Alligator mississippiensis: one gene and its partner. The protein of the gene in region 2 purifies or fractionates together with the protein of the main gene of each other region. This does not show direct contact. Links are inferred from orthologs where the notes say so. Each region holds a gene or a part of one and is shown on either strand. Other genes may lie near its edges.

The links. Proteins that work in one complex are often made in the same cells at the same time.
Region 1: the proteins of CD9 (region 2) and ITGA6 purify together in Homo sapiens (co-immunoprecipitation; 3 studies listed by BioGRID and IntAct, with this or other methods). This does not show direct contact. The link is inferred for Alligator mississippiensis from reciprocal best matches to the Homo sapiens genes CD9 and ITGA6.

The regions. Positions count from the first base shown.
Region 1 is NC_081827.1:211,944,915-211,952,542, reverse strand, and holds the start of ITGA6 (integrin alpha-6), read left to right. Parts: upstream 1-4,624; 5' UTR 4,625-4,712; coding exon 4,713-4,891; intron 4,892-7,628. UniProt on the Homo sapiens protein: Integrin alpha-6/beta-1 (ITGA6:ITGB1) is a receptor for laminin on platelets. Integrin alpha-6/beta-1 (ITGA6:ITGB1) is present in oocytes and is involved in sperm-egg fusion.
Region 2 is NC_081827.1:140,329,828-140,337,295, forward strand, and holds the start of CD9 (CD9 antigen), read right to left. Parts: upstream 3,011-7,468; 5' UTR 2,926-3,010; coding exon 2,860-2,925; intron 1-2,859. UniProt on the Homo sapiens protein: Integral membrane protein associated with integrins, which regulates different processes, such as sperm-egg fusion, platelet activation and aggregation, and cell adhesion.

The sequences.
Region 1 (7,628 bases), about 72 Mb from region 2:
GCTGCCAACCATGGAGCCCAGGCTGCTTGCAGCAAGGCTGACAGCTGAGCCTGCCTGACTTCCACCTTCGCCCAGCCCCCCCCCCCCCGCCATGAGGTTGATGATGCCCCCTTGCCAGAAGCACCGCACCTTTTGTGGGCTTGGGTAGGTGGTTGGGCTGATGGGCAGGCTCTGGGCCGGGGCCTTGGCCAGTTGTGCTGCAGCGTGGGGTGTGGCTCCCCAGGGAGGCACAGGAGCTCTGACGGGACCAGGGCATTGTTGGGTCAGACTTTGTCCAGTGGCCCAGGATCCTGGCTCCATGTGCCTGCGCATCTGGTTCTGTGTGTCTGTCTGCCTCTGTGTGTCTGTGCCCACACATCTGGTTCTGGATGTGTGTGTGTGTGCACGTGTCTGTTCTGGTTCTCTGTATTTGTGCATGTGTCTCTGTCTCATTGCCTCCTGTTGAACTTGTTGCAATATTTATGATTTATTAAATATATTAATATGCAGTGTGTCCTGCCATGTTCCTACCTGTTTCTTTTCTCTTCCCCCCCCCCCTTTTGTTTTTCTGGCATGCTCACACTCCCACACCTTCCAAGGTAGACATTGTGGGTTTTTTTGGCACTCCAGCCAAAAAACATTGCCTACCCCTGTGTTACAAGATATTATAAAGCACTAGCCTTCAATTATTTACAAACTGTATAAATATAGCCATGATTGTTATTGTGTAAATATCAATGGTAGAAATACAAATACTGATAGTGTAAACACAACTATTTTTTAATTGCCCTGACCTCTAACCTGCTCGGAGCACACTTCTTTTTTTTCCCCCCCCCCTCAAAATGCCAACAGCTGCAGGTGTCTTATGTACTCCAGTGCTCTTACAAGTCCTAACAACAGCAGTGAACCAGAAGCAAAGATAACAGTAGTAAAAATTCTAACACAAATATGCTAGCAAATAAAAGGTTAATTGTTTGTTCAGCTGATTGCCAGTGTTCAGAGGTGTTAACATAATAGAAGTTACCTGAGAACTAGCAGTTTAAAAAAATTGTGAAAGTGTTGCTTTCAAGAAACTGTTCAAAGAGCTTGATTTGACATATACACATTCTGGACATGTAAAATTAATTAATATTTAAAATGATTAAAGTTTAATAATTTGGAGTTCCTCATAATTGGGTCTAGCATGGTAGGTCTGGATCAGGTTTTCTGAATTTAGATTTAAAAAAAGAGAATACACTTATTATCACTTAAAAATGAAAAGGGGATATAGTTGCATATTTCCACTTTTAAAGACGGGTGTTTTTTTGTTTTTTTTTTTTATGTGCCACATTAAAGAAATTCAGCTGTATCCCCCTCTGTAACGGTAAATGATTTGCAACTCTTTAGGTCAGATAAATGTAAGGTATTGTTCAAATAGAAGGTAAAAGTTTAGCTGTGTGAAACATCGCTCTTTCAAGTTTCTCCAGCAGACAAAATAAAACATCTTTTGTGGCTCCAGCTCCCCACACCTTTCTTCTGAAAATGAAAAATTATTTGTTATAATTAACTACACAGCTTGTTACATTGAGGAGGAGAGCAGGCTTGGCACGGATGTTTTCTCAATATGTAGGCTCAGCAGGCCAACGCCTTGTAGTCCATTTGGCAGAAAACCAACATACCATTAGTGAGCAGACACCTGAAAACTCAGCTATGGCAGAGCATGTGTTTTAAAGATAGGCCACATGGTTTTGATCTAGCTGAAAGATGGCATCTTTTTTTATATTCAGTACAGTGGCCAAAGTTAATTTTAATTGGTTGTTATACCTAATCCTTATTCTCTCTTTTTTTTTTTTTTTATACTGGGATACTGAAGGGCTTCTTATTCTGCACTGTTTCAGTTTCTAGATCAGTGATTCTCAACTTCTTTTAAGATCATGGCACTCCTCATTAGACTCATTGCTCTCTTTGGAAAATGCCAGTCCTTAGTTTACACTTCTTTTTTGGCTGCAAGAAAAATAGAGAATTTTTTTTTTGTTGCAAGCAACTCAAAGATCACAGCACATCAGAATGTTTTTAATGCCATGAATTCCTATTTGAAATCTCTGGGTTCATTTTGTGAATCATCCTTGCACACGCCTGGTAGTGCTAATGTTGTGACACACCCTGGAAAGGGTCTCTGGTGCTGTGGCACCGGTTCTAAAAAGTCCAATAACATTATCTTTTTGAAGGTAGGATCCATTTCTGAGATTCCACAGTCTGACTGGGAAAGGAAAAGGGAAATAACCATTTCCCACTTGTTTCTCTTATTTCTGTAGGACAAATTAAAGTGCATAGAGTAAAATGTTGTTTAAGTGCCCATCCAAGGGCCATACTACAAAGCACTCCTAAAGAGTTTGAGTGTAGTTCTACTCTACCTTTTTATAAGCAATCCTTCTTGTCAGTCCTGTGAGTGATCACTCCAAACAAGTCTTATGCAGCTCATAGATTCATAGATGTTAGGGTCGGAAGGGACCTCAATAGATCATCAAGTCCGACCCCCTGCATAAGCAGGAAAGAGTGCTGGGTCTAGATGACCCCAGAGTGCTGGGTCTAGATGACTCGTCCAACCTCCTCTTGAAGACCCCCAGGGTAGGGGAGAGCACCACCTCCCTTGGGAGCCCGTTCCAGACCTTGGCCACTCGAACTGTGAAGAAGTTCTTCCTTATGTCCAGTCTAAATCTGCTCTCTACTAGCTTGTGGCCATTGTTTCTTGTAACCCCCGGGGACGCCTTGGTGAATAAATCCTCACCAATTCCCTTCTGTGCCCCCGTGATGAACTTATAGGCAGCCACAAGGTCACCTCTCAACCTTCTCTTGTGGAGGCTGAAAAGGTCCAGTTTCTCTAGTCTCTCCTCGTAGGGCTTGGTCTGCAGGCCCTTGACCATACGAGTTGCCCTTCGCTGTACCCTCTCCAGGTTATCCGCATCCTTCTTGAAGTGTGGCGCCCAGAATTGCACGCAGTACTCCAACTGCGGTCTGACCAACGCCCTATAGAGGGGAAGTATCACCTCCCTGGACCTATTTGTCATGCATCTGCTGATGCACGATAAAGTGCCATTGGCTTTTCTGATGGCTTCGTCACACTGCCGGCTCATGTTCATCTTGGAGTCCACTAGGACTCCAAGATCCCTTTCCACCTCTGTGCCACCCAGCAGGTCATTCCCTAGGCTGTAGGTGTGCTGGACATTTTTCCTCCCTAGGTGCATCACTTTGCATTTCTCCTTGTTGAACTGCATCTTGTTGTTTTCTGCCCACTTGTCCAGCCTATCCAGGTCCAGCTGTGGTTTGGAACCCTCATTACTGAGTTACTTTTGGAGAGGAGACTGTTCAGAGAAGTTTTTCCTGTAGCAACTACTATGGATAATAACGATGAATAAAACTTGGCAAAATGTGAACTTCATTAGGGATTTCCACCCTCGGCCCCCCCTATGTGACAAGGACATCTCAACCACTTTTCAGATATGGTATAACAGTATTTGAATGATGCCCCCTACCTCATTAAAAGAGTTATGCAGAGCAACTACTACACTTCTTAATGTATTATGGGATGCAGCTCTGATTGTTCTTGAGGGGAAAAAATTCTTTATTACTTTGATACACATCTCAGAGTTGTTTTAAAAATTTGTTGTTCGTATTTGTTTTCAAGTTCTTATTAATTACCAGCACATTTATGGGCTATAATCAAGGAAACTTACTGTAGCAAGTCCTCTCCATCTTCGAAGTCCATGACAGTGTAGTGTTTGTCAACAGTTTTCTGCCATGAGAGTGAAGTGACCATGTGACCAAACACTGGATTATAAAATTGCATAAATCTGACTGTGCTGGGATGAAACTTTATCAGGTGGAAAAGGCATCTCCCTCTGAGATCCTTATTTGACCAAACATGCATGAAGGTTTCCAGCCTATAGACTATGGGACACATTTTTGGGTGACTTAATACTTGCCTGTACTTTCTTCTGGCTTGGGGCTTATGAGTCTTTATAGCTAAAAACTTGCTTACACACCTGTTATTTGAGCACAGTTGCTCAGGCTCGCTATGCTGGAATAACTGTCCTGGCCTAACTCTCGTTGGAATAGCTCTCCTTACAGAATCAAAGCATCTGCCCAGACTGCTAACCAGAATGGTGGTTTTGCTTTAAATCTTCCTCCTGCGTTTTTCCAAAGCCACCTTTTGGCCCTTTAGAGGAGTCTTAAAACTTCTTCTGCCCCTACTCTAAAAAGTGTAATTGCTCTTTTCTAAGAAAGAGTACCGTATTACTTTTGGAGGTTTAGTGATTTAAAAAAAACAAACCCTTAATTTAGGAAAAGGAAGGGAGTGCTGGATGCCTAATGGCAGTGAACTACAGACCGAAATAAACCCGTGGTGCCCGTCGGCCGGGGGGTGCCGGGGCGCGGGGCTGCCGCGGGGAGAGGCGGCGGCGGCTGGGAGCCGCAGACGCGCTCCGTGACGGGCCAAGGACGGGGCGGACTGGGCTGGGCTCTGGAGGCGCCGCCAGCCCCTACACCCGCTGCCTCCCCCGCGCCTGCTCACGGGGCCGCCCCCGCCGGCCGCAGCCGAGGGCTGGAGCCTCCTCCCCAGCGGGGCGCGGCGGCCGCACCTGCCGGGGGGCCGGGCCGGGCGGGGCGGGCCGGCGCCGTCACTCCGCTCGCGGCCTCGGGAGAACAAGGGCCCTGCGCGGAGGAGTAGCAGGTTCCGCGGCCGCCGGCGGGAACAGATGGCGGCGCCGCTCGGCCTCTACCTGCGCCTGGGGCAGTGGCTGCTGCTGCTGCCCGGCCTCGCCCGCGCCTTCAACCTGGACGCGGAGCAGGCGGTCGTGCGGCGCGGCGGCAAGGGCAGCCTCTTCGGCTTCTCCCTGGCCATGCACTGGCAGCTGCAGCCGCAGGACAAGAGACTGTGAGTGACCCGGCCCCGGGCCAAACTTCCCCGCTCCCCTCCCCTCTGCTCCGCTCCGCTCCCCGGGCAGGTCCCGGGCGGGCAGCACCGACTCGGCCAGGCCGGGCCGCGGCCACCTGTTGGCGGGGCGGCGGAGCGGTGACGGGCGATCGCCATTTGCCGCCCCGGGCGCTGGTGCCGGGATCCGGGATCCGGGCGGGGGCGGTGCCAGGTCCCGCGGCCGCGGAGGGAGGCGGCTGCTTGAGGCGGGGGGGCCTGCAGGCTGCTGCCATGTGCGCCGCTCCCGGGGAGCCGCGGTCTCGCTGCCGGGGCCGGGGGAGCTGCGCCCCTCGCACGTGCTCCAGCTGTGAAGCTGGCTGGAAAAGACTTAAGCTGCTGCTTCCCCGGGCAGGAGGACAGCTAGTCCTCCGGGGCTCCGTCTGCCCCACCACTTGATCAGGAGCCCGGGAGGGATATCATAGTATTTTACCAGCTCCTTTTCAAGGCTGAGCTGGTCTCGCACTCCTCATGGGAAGACGGCACGGGGGCGGGTGTTGCCAGTGTAATGGTGCAAGGAAAGGCGGCGCTTATGGAACAGCCAAAGGCGAAATGAACGGGACCTTCTCCCAGGCCTCCTCCCCGGGCTTCCCTGCGGAGCTGCCTGGTGTTTACTACCTTCTGTATGTGGTATCGTTGGGTGACACTGAGGAGAAGTTTCCTTGTGACAGGACAAGTAAAGCCCTCATATTTTGCTTTAATGCAGAAAGAAATAAGAGCGTGGGAACTGCCCTTGCAAGAGAGAAGTGGGGCAAGTAGCAGTCAGAAAGAAAGTTACGTTTATAGGTCTGTATTTTGCCCTGACTTGCACTTGTGAAACTACTAATTGCAGTGAAGTTGCATGAGTGAACATCAACAGCTATTATTGTTAGCTCTTCATGCTTATAGGACAGGGGCTGCCAAAGGCAGAAGAATAAATATCTTAATGCAAGAAGTTGCTTTTTAGAATCGTACATCATTGTCCCATCTTGACGGCATTATTATTGCGGTTCTTAAAAGCTTGTGTCATTTTACTCTAAACGGTCAATAAAAGGACAATCTACAGTTTGTTAGACCTTGTATGGTACAGTCAAATGTGGCTAGTGAGTAGATATTAAAATGTCTAGGGATATTAAACCAATAGAAGGACAATGTACAGTTTATTAGCTTCCTATGGTATGGCCAAATGCAGCTAGTAGTTAGGAATTGGAATATGTGGGGACATAAAATCATTCTGTAGGGGTTCTTGGTCTTGGGAGGCCAGTTGCAATGTTCAGGCAAGTTTGTGAAATTTTAGATTAAAATTTCTCTCAGATTATTAGAACGACACTTCTGCGTTAGCTGTATGTATAGAACACTTGGTGGCAATTCAGATCTGAGGGAAGAGAAAATAAGCAGATCCTTAACTTATGGACAGGGCTCTCTGGAAAAAAAACCCTGAGTAATGCAGAACCAGACTAGGGAACAGTACGCACAGGCTGAATCCTGCAGACTCCATCGGAGTCGTGCAAACTACTGTAAGGTAGAAGACAGGGTAGAGTTGCACGTAATAGACTAACTTGAAGAGTGGCCCAGCAGTTTAGGTGCTCTCTGTGTTTTAGGAGACGAAGGTTCAATTCCCTGCTGTACCTCCATTTCTATCTGTAAAATGGGGTTAATTATATTTTCTGGCCTTACTGGGGTGTTGTAAGAATAAAAGCATTAAATATTGTAAACTGCCTGGATACTTCAGTAGTGTTGGCATATAAAATACATTATGCAGATAGCATCCCTAGAAGGCAACATTTTTAAGCTCTGTGGTGCTGGAAACATCTTGTCAAATAGCAACATAATCAAACTCAGTGGGAGTTTCGTCATTGGAAAACTGAACTAAAGGACTATTTTTCAGACTTTGTCTTGTATTAGTAAAAAACTAGATAAAATAATGGTACTTATTGTTGGTAGCAAACGACTCCTTTACAGAGTCCATTGGGTACACTGAGGCCACCCCAAACACAGGAACTCTTTCTAGAGGCAGGACAGCTTATGTCCTTTGTGCATGTGTTTCAGGGAGGTCTGGGTGCTGGCAGCAATTGAGCCTATTTGACAGTTAAGTAGGTAAAAATTACTGTTATTGTCACAGCTGAAGATAGGACATGCTGTTGGGAGTGATTTCAGACTACCTGTGGGTCTGCAGCTCTATCCAGCTTTGTTTTTTCAGCTCTTTTGCAAAGATAGTTTTATAAGCTGCGGCCTCATTGAATCAAACACCCAGATCAGCTGAAACAAAAACAATAGATTTATTTATTTTGCGTGTTCATCTTTATCGAATGCTAACTTCAAAGCTCAGCTATAGATTTTTAAGTGAGCACTATTAAACATGCAGCCAAAATGCACAAAACACATTTTACCACTGAACCTTAATTGAATGTGACAGCTGGGTTCTTGCTTGGCATGGTTCTTCAATCTAAATCATAAATCCAGACTGGGATCATTTTGTGCCAAGTAATTGGATCCTAGCAAAAGCAAGCAGGGAAGAGAATCCTTGGGCTTTATCATTTGAATCTAGGAATAGAGAACCCATTTCAGCATGCCAACTGCATGTTATCAAAGATGGTCTTTAGTTGTCTCAGCAATATTTTCTTAATCTTCCTTCTTTACCTGATACAGGTTTCAAGATAAATTATTTTCATTTTCTTGTCATCACTGTTTGATTGCTCAGAGTGAGAATTACAAAACCTTT
Region 2 (7,468 bases):
CAGGCTAGCTGAAATCTGATGCTATGATTGAGTGTCTATGTGCCAGTTTCCAGCTTTAGAGAGTTTTCAGCAATAGCTTACCTTGACCTCATCAGATGAAGGTCAACTTGGAGGGAAGGCAAACAAGTCTTGAGCACCATCCTCTCCTTTGCCTTCCCAACTCCCAAATATTTATCTCATCTTGACAGGCCAAATTGCATTTATAAACCAAACTTACTCTAAAATATACACCATTCTTTTTCTTATCCTATATCCCCAACCAACCAGCACACATTTCAGTGCTTTTTTTTTTTTTTTTTATTTTTCTTTTTAAGAAAAGAACAAGAAACAATCTAATAAAAAGTCTAGGCCTAGAGCTAATCCTTAGTCACTAAACTTAGATTAATGCTCCAAGAACTAAGGGAGAGCTCCTTTCACAGCTGTTCTGGCACCATTGGCAAAGATATTCTCAGTAGCATTTCAGCTGCTTACCAATTATAGACATTTCAACTGCATTCACAAAGTTAGCAGCCTGTGCAAGTTGCAGATCATAGCAGAGCACTGCTGAGTAAACAGAGTGCTGCACTGTAAGTTTGCTGCCGAATCCAAGTGGTTTTGACAAAGAACCACATGAAGAATCATTTATTGAAGTCATCTAGCCTTCAGGTAAATACCATTCCAGTTGCGAGCAAAGACACCATAAGTTTGACTACATAGGCCTGGGATAAGAATTAGCCTAGGAAACAGCTTCCCTTCCCCCAAACACAAAAGTTAATGTTTAGCAAATACAGTACATGCAAAAACCTTTGCTTTTTTGTACATACTTTGCTTCCTACAGTCTCTGCCTCTCCCTTTTCACAGAGTTCCCTTGAGTGCTCTGCCTTGGCTGGTTACAGGGCTAAAATTTACCATTTGGGCCTAAGGCACCCATTTATTCAAGCCTGTAAATAAGATCTTAGTAATGGTATACTACTCAGAATGCTATGGACCATGTGGCCTTCCCATATCCTCTTTAAAAACCACCTTTACTCTAAGTAAATACCCTTTTTTCACAGACCTACTATAAATCACTTCTTTTAAAATACTTCATAAAGATGTTTCTCTGAAGCTGGCATAGGAAGTAGATTTAAAAAAAAAAAACAAAAAAAACCACACACGAAAAACAACAAACAAGCCACATCCCCAGACACCTGCTCACACATACTATTGGATGTACCCAGAAGCAACTGCCTTCGATTCATAACTTGACTTTGCCAGATGTTTAAAGAGAGTCCGCAGAAGCATCTATTACTTTCCCTTGGTAGCCAGTTCCTCACTGTTATTTTACAGCCATAGACAGACTTTTACCTAGCAGTGCAAACAGATAGAAATACAGTTGATCCCTCTAAATACTCAAAGGGATAAAAAGAATTTGATGAAGCTACCCCTAAAGTCTCCTTCTCTGAACAATTTAGTCTACGAGATCCCCACCTTCTGCCTAACAATCAACTAATCTCACAACTTTTTTCAGATATTACCGACGGCCCTTGCGTTGTGCAGCGCTAGGTTGAAGACCTGCCTCAATTTGTTACTGTGCTCCATGGAGTTCAACCCATTTGAGACTTCCTGCACTCAAGGTCTGCACCTCTAAACATGTCAGAGAGGAATCCCAACAGCTGCAAAGGAAGGTCCTACCAGCAAAACACCACAGAGCGCTTCAACTGAATTCAGACTAAACAGAAAAAAAGGTGTGGCCAGAGGCAAAAACAGTTGTTGTCTCATCCTGTTTTTGCAAGGCATCTTAGCACATCGCTTTAAAAGAAGGCACATAAAAAGAAATCCAAGAACTCAACCAGCTAAGTCTCGCCGAGAGAGAGTTTAACTTCTCAGGAACAAACTCTTGGACTCCATGTTGCGCCTGCATTGCTGGGGGAACCTGCGTACATCTTCAGTGTGTTCCCAGATTGAAAACAAAGCTATGCCACGTTATGCTGCCCTATAGAAGAGCAGGAACAAGGAAGTGAAACAGCGTTAAAAAAAGATAGCAATAATAAATAAATAGCCCTAAATCACAGGGTTGGAAGGGGCCTCAAAGATTATCCTCCAGAGCAGCCCAGACACCTTGGGGAGGGGGAGTCAGGGTTGAACTTCAGGCAGGCCCTCACACCTCTGCCCAAAGGCCCAGCTTCAAACAAAAGGTGGTCCCAAACGAGTTTTCAGGCACCAACTACTAACATCTTCAGAGCTGGGAGAGTCACTTTGATCCGACGTGGCAGGTGTGGCCGGGCCACATTTAAAACGGGACACTTATCGCTGCATTTTGCTTAGCAAACCAAGCAAGGGCAGTGCAAGTTTCACGCCAGTCAAGGGTGCAAGGTGTGCAACAGGTAGCAGGGCCCCCCCGAGACCCAGGGAAGCAGAAAGCAGAGTGGCTCCTGTCTCTGGCAGACAGAGAAGAAGCCTTGATGCCAACACAAGAGAGAAAAGCGAGAGAGCTGAGCCAGCCCTGGGGAGGGCGAGGAGAAAGCCTTGCGGGATGGGGACTTTCCAGAGGCAGGACAGGACTCCTGGGGTGCGGAGCACCTCTCTTAAAGAGGCTGCAAAACTAGCTTGCCCCACTTCACTTTGCAACCAGGGTGCAGCCCCCTGCATGGCATCAGGCACCTGTGGAGCTGGCACTGCTCGGCAGCTCCAGGGGCTGTGCAGGCTACTTCCTCCCACCCAATTCGGCTCCAGGCTCCGCTCCCTGGGGCCCCTCGTCCCCCCGCCCGGAGCCACCTCCAGCCTGAGGCAGAGCGCGCGGGGGGGGCAGCCCAGCCCAGCCAGGGCTCCGGTGAGGCGAGTTTGCAAGGCAGGGAGCCCAACCCCTGGACCCTCCCTCCGCTCTGGGGTGCCCCTTACCCAGAAGATGAAGTTGAAGACGAAGAGCAGGTACTTGATACACTTAATGCCTCCTTTCACCGGCATCCTAGCGGCTGCAGGAGCCAAAGGGGTCCGACAGCTGCAGCGGGGCTCGGGACGCAGGAAGGACACGCCGCGCACTGCCCCGCCTTAAATGCGGGCGAGTCCCTGGAGCAGTCCAGCGCCTCCCCTCCCCCTCCCTCCTGCCCCGCCCCGCCCCGCCCTGCCCTGCCCTGCCCTGCCCTGCCGCGTCCCGCGCCCGCCCCGCGGGCTCGACGGGCGCCGGGGGCTGCAAGGCGGGACGAGAGGCGTGGGGGGCGGCCGCGGAGGCTCCCTCTCCTCGCCCCCAGCCCCGAGAACCCAGGTCGGAAGCGGGAAGGAGCCCCGGAGCGGTGTTGGCTGCCCCCTTCCCAGAACATGAGTCGAGAGCCGCGGCAGGGCTTGCAGCTTTCCGGGCACCGCTCTGGGACAGGAGGCTCCGGAGAGTTGCACCGTATAGACTAACCCCGGGGTGTGTGTGTATACTTATGGCTACGCAGGTGCGTATGCAGATGACTGTGCACATGCACATGTATACACACCCCAAAAGATATGGATACAGGCATACATATGGCTATATAGATAGATATCGATACATACATACACACACTTAGCTATATATACATGCATACATATAGGCTTACAAATATGTGTATATTTGTATGCGTATATGTGTGTGTGTGTATACATGCGTACAGATCTACATACACATGTATGTGTGTGGGCGTATGTATGCATGTGTGCATACATGTGTGTGTGTGTGTGTGTGTGTGTGTGTGTGTATATATATCTGCCATGTTGCAGGGGTGTAGGTTGTAGCCGTGTTGGTCTAAGGACAGAGGCAGACAAGATTCTTTGGGTGAATCTGGTATCTTTTATTAGACCCACTCAAACAGTTGGAAAAATTCTTCTTTGCAACTTTCAGACACAATCACCCTTCGTCATGCTGAGGAAGCACCTGCAGTTGCTCTGCCCTTTTCCTGTGTTTTTCCCATTTTAGGTATTAAGGGTTTGGAACAGTTTAAGTAGATTGATTTTAAATAAACATAACTGAATGGCTGCACTCCTCAAATATGGACAAGGCAATAGTGACGGCAACCTATAAAGAGAAATGGCAGGGAGGGAAGCAAATACAACTAGAGGTTTCTGCCACCCCTAAGATCCTGCTTTCTTGAGGTTGAGGGGCACATTTTCATGTTTTGTTTGTAAGTATAATCACAAGCTTTCATGAGATGAAGCTAATTTTAACCAATGGTGTGAAAGGACATACAACAAGCAGTGTAGAAGAAGAAAAGGAGAAAAAATGTTCTTTCTCCTACACTGCTTGTTGCACTTCCTTTCACAACATTGGTTGAAGTGAACTTCAGCTCAGGAAAGCTTGTGCTATCTATGTATATGTGTATGTAAGTGGATATATATACATACACACGTATAGATAGCAAGCACAAGCTTTCTACTGTATGTGTGTATAAGTGTAGATATATATCTATATATAGATATAAATGTATGTGTATATACACCATCCAGGAAGAGCACACACCAACTGCTGAAGAAGCTTCCTTAGCCTGACGAAGGGTTTTTGAACCCGAAAGCTTGCTTAATAACTATTCACCAACCATTTGGGTTGGTCTAATAAAAGATATCAAATTCACCCAAGGAACCTTGTCTGCCTGTGTATATACATGTGTGTGCATGTGTATATACGTGTGTATATACATGTGTGTACACATGTGTGCGCGATACATGCACACACACGTGCATGCACACACACACACTTCTGTTAGTCTATAACATGCAAATCTGCCCGGCCTTCTACTTAATTTCAGACTAACAGGTTTAATTATGTGTCTCAGATTTAAAAAAAAAAAAGACACTCCAGGATAGCATTCCTCAAAGATCCGTCCAAAATCTTAAGCAAAACCCTAGCAACTGGATTTACTGCTCACTGAGATGAAGGTTTAAAATTGCAATAAGTTAGATGTCTAGACATCCTGGTAGTGCAAAATTCTAGAAAATGATTCTAATGCAATGAAGTAGGCAAGTATAGAGAGATGCTTACAAAATGCAAACTTCTCAACCTTCTTCGAGACTCAAGGTAACTCTTGTTAGACTCAAGGCACCGCATGCCAGCTCTTAATTTTCACTCATTTTTTGAGTATGGAAAAAGAATAGAGCAATTCTTCTGTTGCAAAGAACTCAAAGACCACAACAGGTCAAAATGGTTTTGACATTATGGATTTTCATTTGAAATCTCTGTGTTTATCTTGTGAATCATGTTTGCACAATTAACAATACCAACATTGTGTGGCACTCCATGTCATCCTTGAAAGGATGTCAGGGTGCTGTAGCATCCTTGTTTTGAACCAATACAAACTAGTTTAGCCCTTGCTTACCAATTTAAGATAGACTGATGTATGTATCTCTCCATCACAAACTGAAGTGACTTAAGTATGGATTAAACCAGTTTAGGTATTAAGAGTTTGCAACAGCTTAAGTAGGTTGATTTTTAAATAAAGGTAACTGCTGCAGTCCTCAAATATGGACAAGGGTATAGTGACTGCAACCTATAAAGAGAAACAGAGGGCCAGAGCCTCCACTGCTGTAAATTTGCCATTGCCTACTTGCTATGGTAATTTACACCTGCTAAACCTGTAAATCAGATTCTGCTGTGGAAACCCAAAGAAGCATGATTGAAATGCAAATAAAAGGTTTTTAGTATTAGCATTGTCAAAATTTAAAGGACTCCCGTAATGAATGTTTGTCAGAACTTTCTAAGATAAGGCTTTACAATGTGAAGCTAATGCAACTGAGGAAGGCATAAAATAGAGATAGTATCCGAAAAACCAAAAAATCTAAATGCAAATAAGATATTCTTTCATTTGAAAACAAGGAAGGAAAAACATGCAACTCTGGGAGAAAGGAGAGAGAGAGGCACACTTGGTCATTATGATGAGGGGGTGGGGGTTCTACACACCTGGCACTGACCACAAACGGGGTTAGTGAAAGCCTCTGGCCCCAATGAACTCTTACTTACTACACCTGCGGTAGATATTAGGCATGAAGCTGGTTATTGACTTGTTTTTTCCTGAAGTTATAGCAGGGGACCTGGGAGTTTGAAAACTTGCTGGATAATTTCTTTTTAAATTTCTTGCTTTCTGGTGTTTTGTAACCTTTGATAATTTAGGAAGACTGGTGGGTTATCTGACCTGTAGAGCTGAAGCTCCATGATTTTGCACTCTGGAAAGATATGTGTAGTTTGTTACTGTGGCTAGTTAATAGGGTATCTGTGAAGTTGTATGCCTATTGCAATGATGTGTGTCTAGAAAGATCAAAATTTGTTAATGGGTACTTAAAAAAAAATCTTGTAAGTTGTTCTTGGTTGTATGATTGGTCTTTGTGTGGCAGTGGAGAAGCTTTAAAATATCTTTTGTATATTTCAGTTTTATTGTTTTTCACCTACTTCCTATTTAGTGTGGATAATAGTGATGTCCTTAACTTCCTATGGTAGCTTGAAAAGTACAGAGGGGAAAACCACTCTCTTAGCGCTATGGTTACAACGAAGCCTACTTTCTGAAGTTGGGCAAAACTTACATGACTTGAAATACCAAATGCTTTGGATATGAACAGGAACTTTTAGAAACTGTTAATGGCTTGCTTATCCAAAAAATATCTCCCCATTTCTTCTCCCTATACTTTCTATGAAGAACACATTTGTTGCTGTTCATGTCATCTTTCTTTGCCTGTTGGTTGTGGGTTTTTGTTTTGTTTTTTAAATTTTGTAATCCTGGAGGGACCTGCCATCCTGGAGTTAAGGAGGAGTGTAGGGGCCTCTGGATCTTCTAGGGACATTGCTTTGGACTTGGCAACATGGAATTGCTGCTATGTAGCTTTAGACTTCTATTGTAGTCCACAGGAACTCTTGTACCTCTTTTGACTGACAGCAGAATTGAGCTTTAATAAGTCAAAATCTCCTGTAAATTGTTTTTTTTGCCTGGTGTAACTCCATTGAAACAGTACATGGAAATATAAAGATGCAAAATTGACTTGTCCATTTATAGGATGACTAGCAAAATAATGCCAGTGAACATTAAGAATTTTGTGTTTAATTCAATTTGATTTAATTCAATTCAATTTCCTACTCTGATAAGTAAGACACATCTGCAGTTGTAAGGGTGCTAGATAAAGACCTCTTGAGGTATCTCCAAGCAATTGGGAAATGCTTTGCATAGAAGAGCCTTCATGAAGATCACCATAGAAAAGCATAATGGAGAAAATACATTGGTGGTCAAAATTCACTTTCTCAAGCATTTGAAATAAAAATAGTTGGCATTCTCATGCAACAGTCTTCTTTTACGACAACAAGGATGAGGAGGTCACTGAGCTTTGGACTGGACAGCATATGATACTCTAAACTGAAACTGAACTCCTCTGAAGGAATACTTTGGAATAAGATGATTCTTGAGGGTGTTGGTGATGATCATCTGCATTTGACTGATGTTGGCTAGTTATTTTCTGTTCTGTTAGTCTTCCTTTCCTCCAGAAAATCACTGATTTCACATAGGGTTGCTAG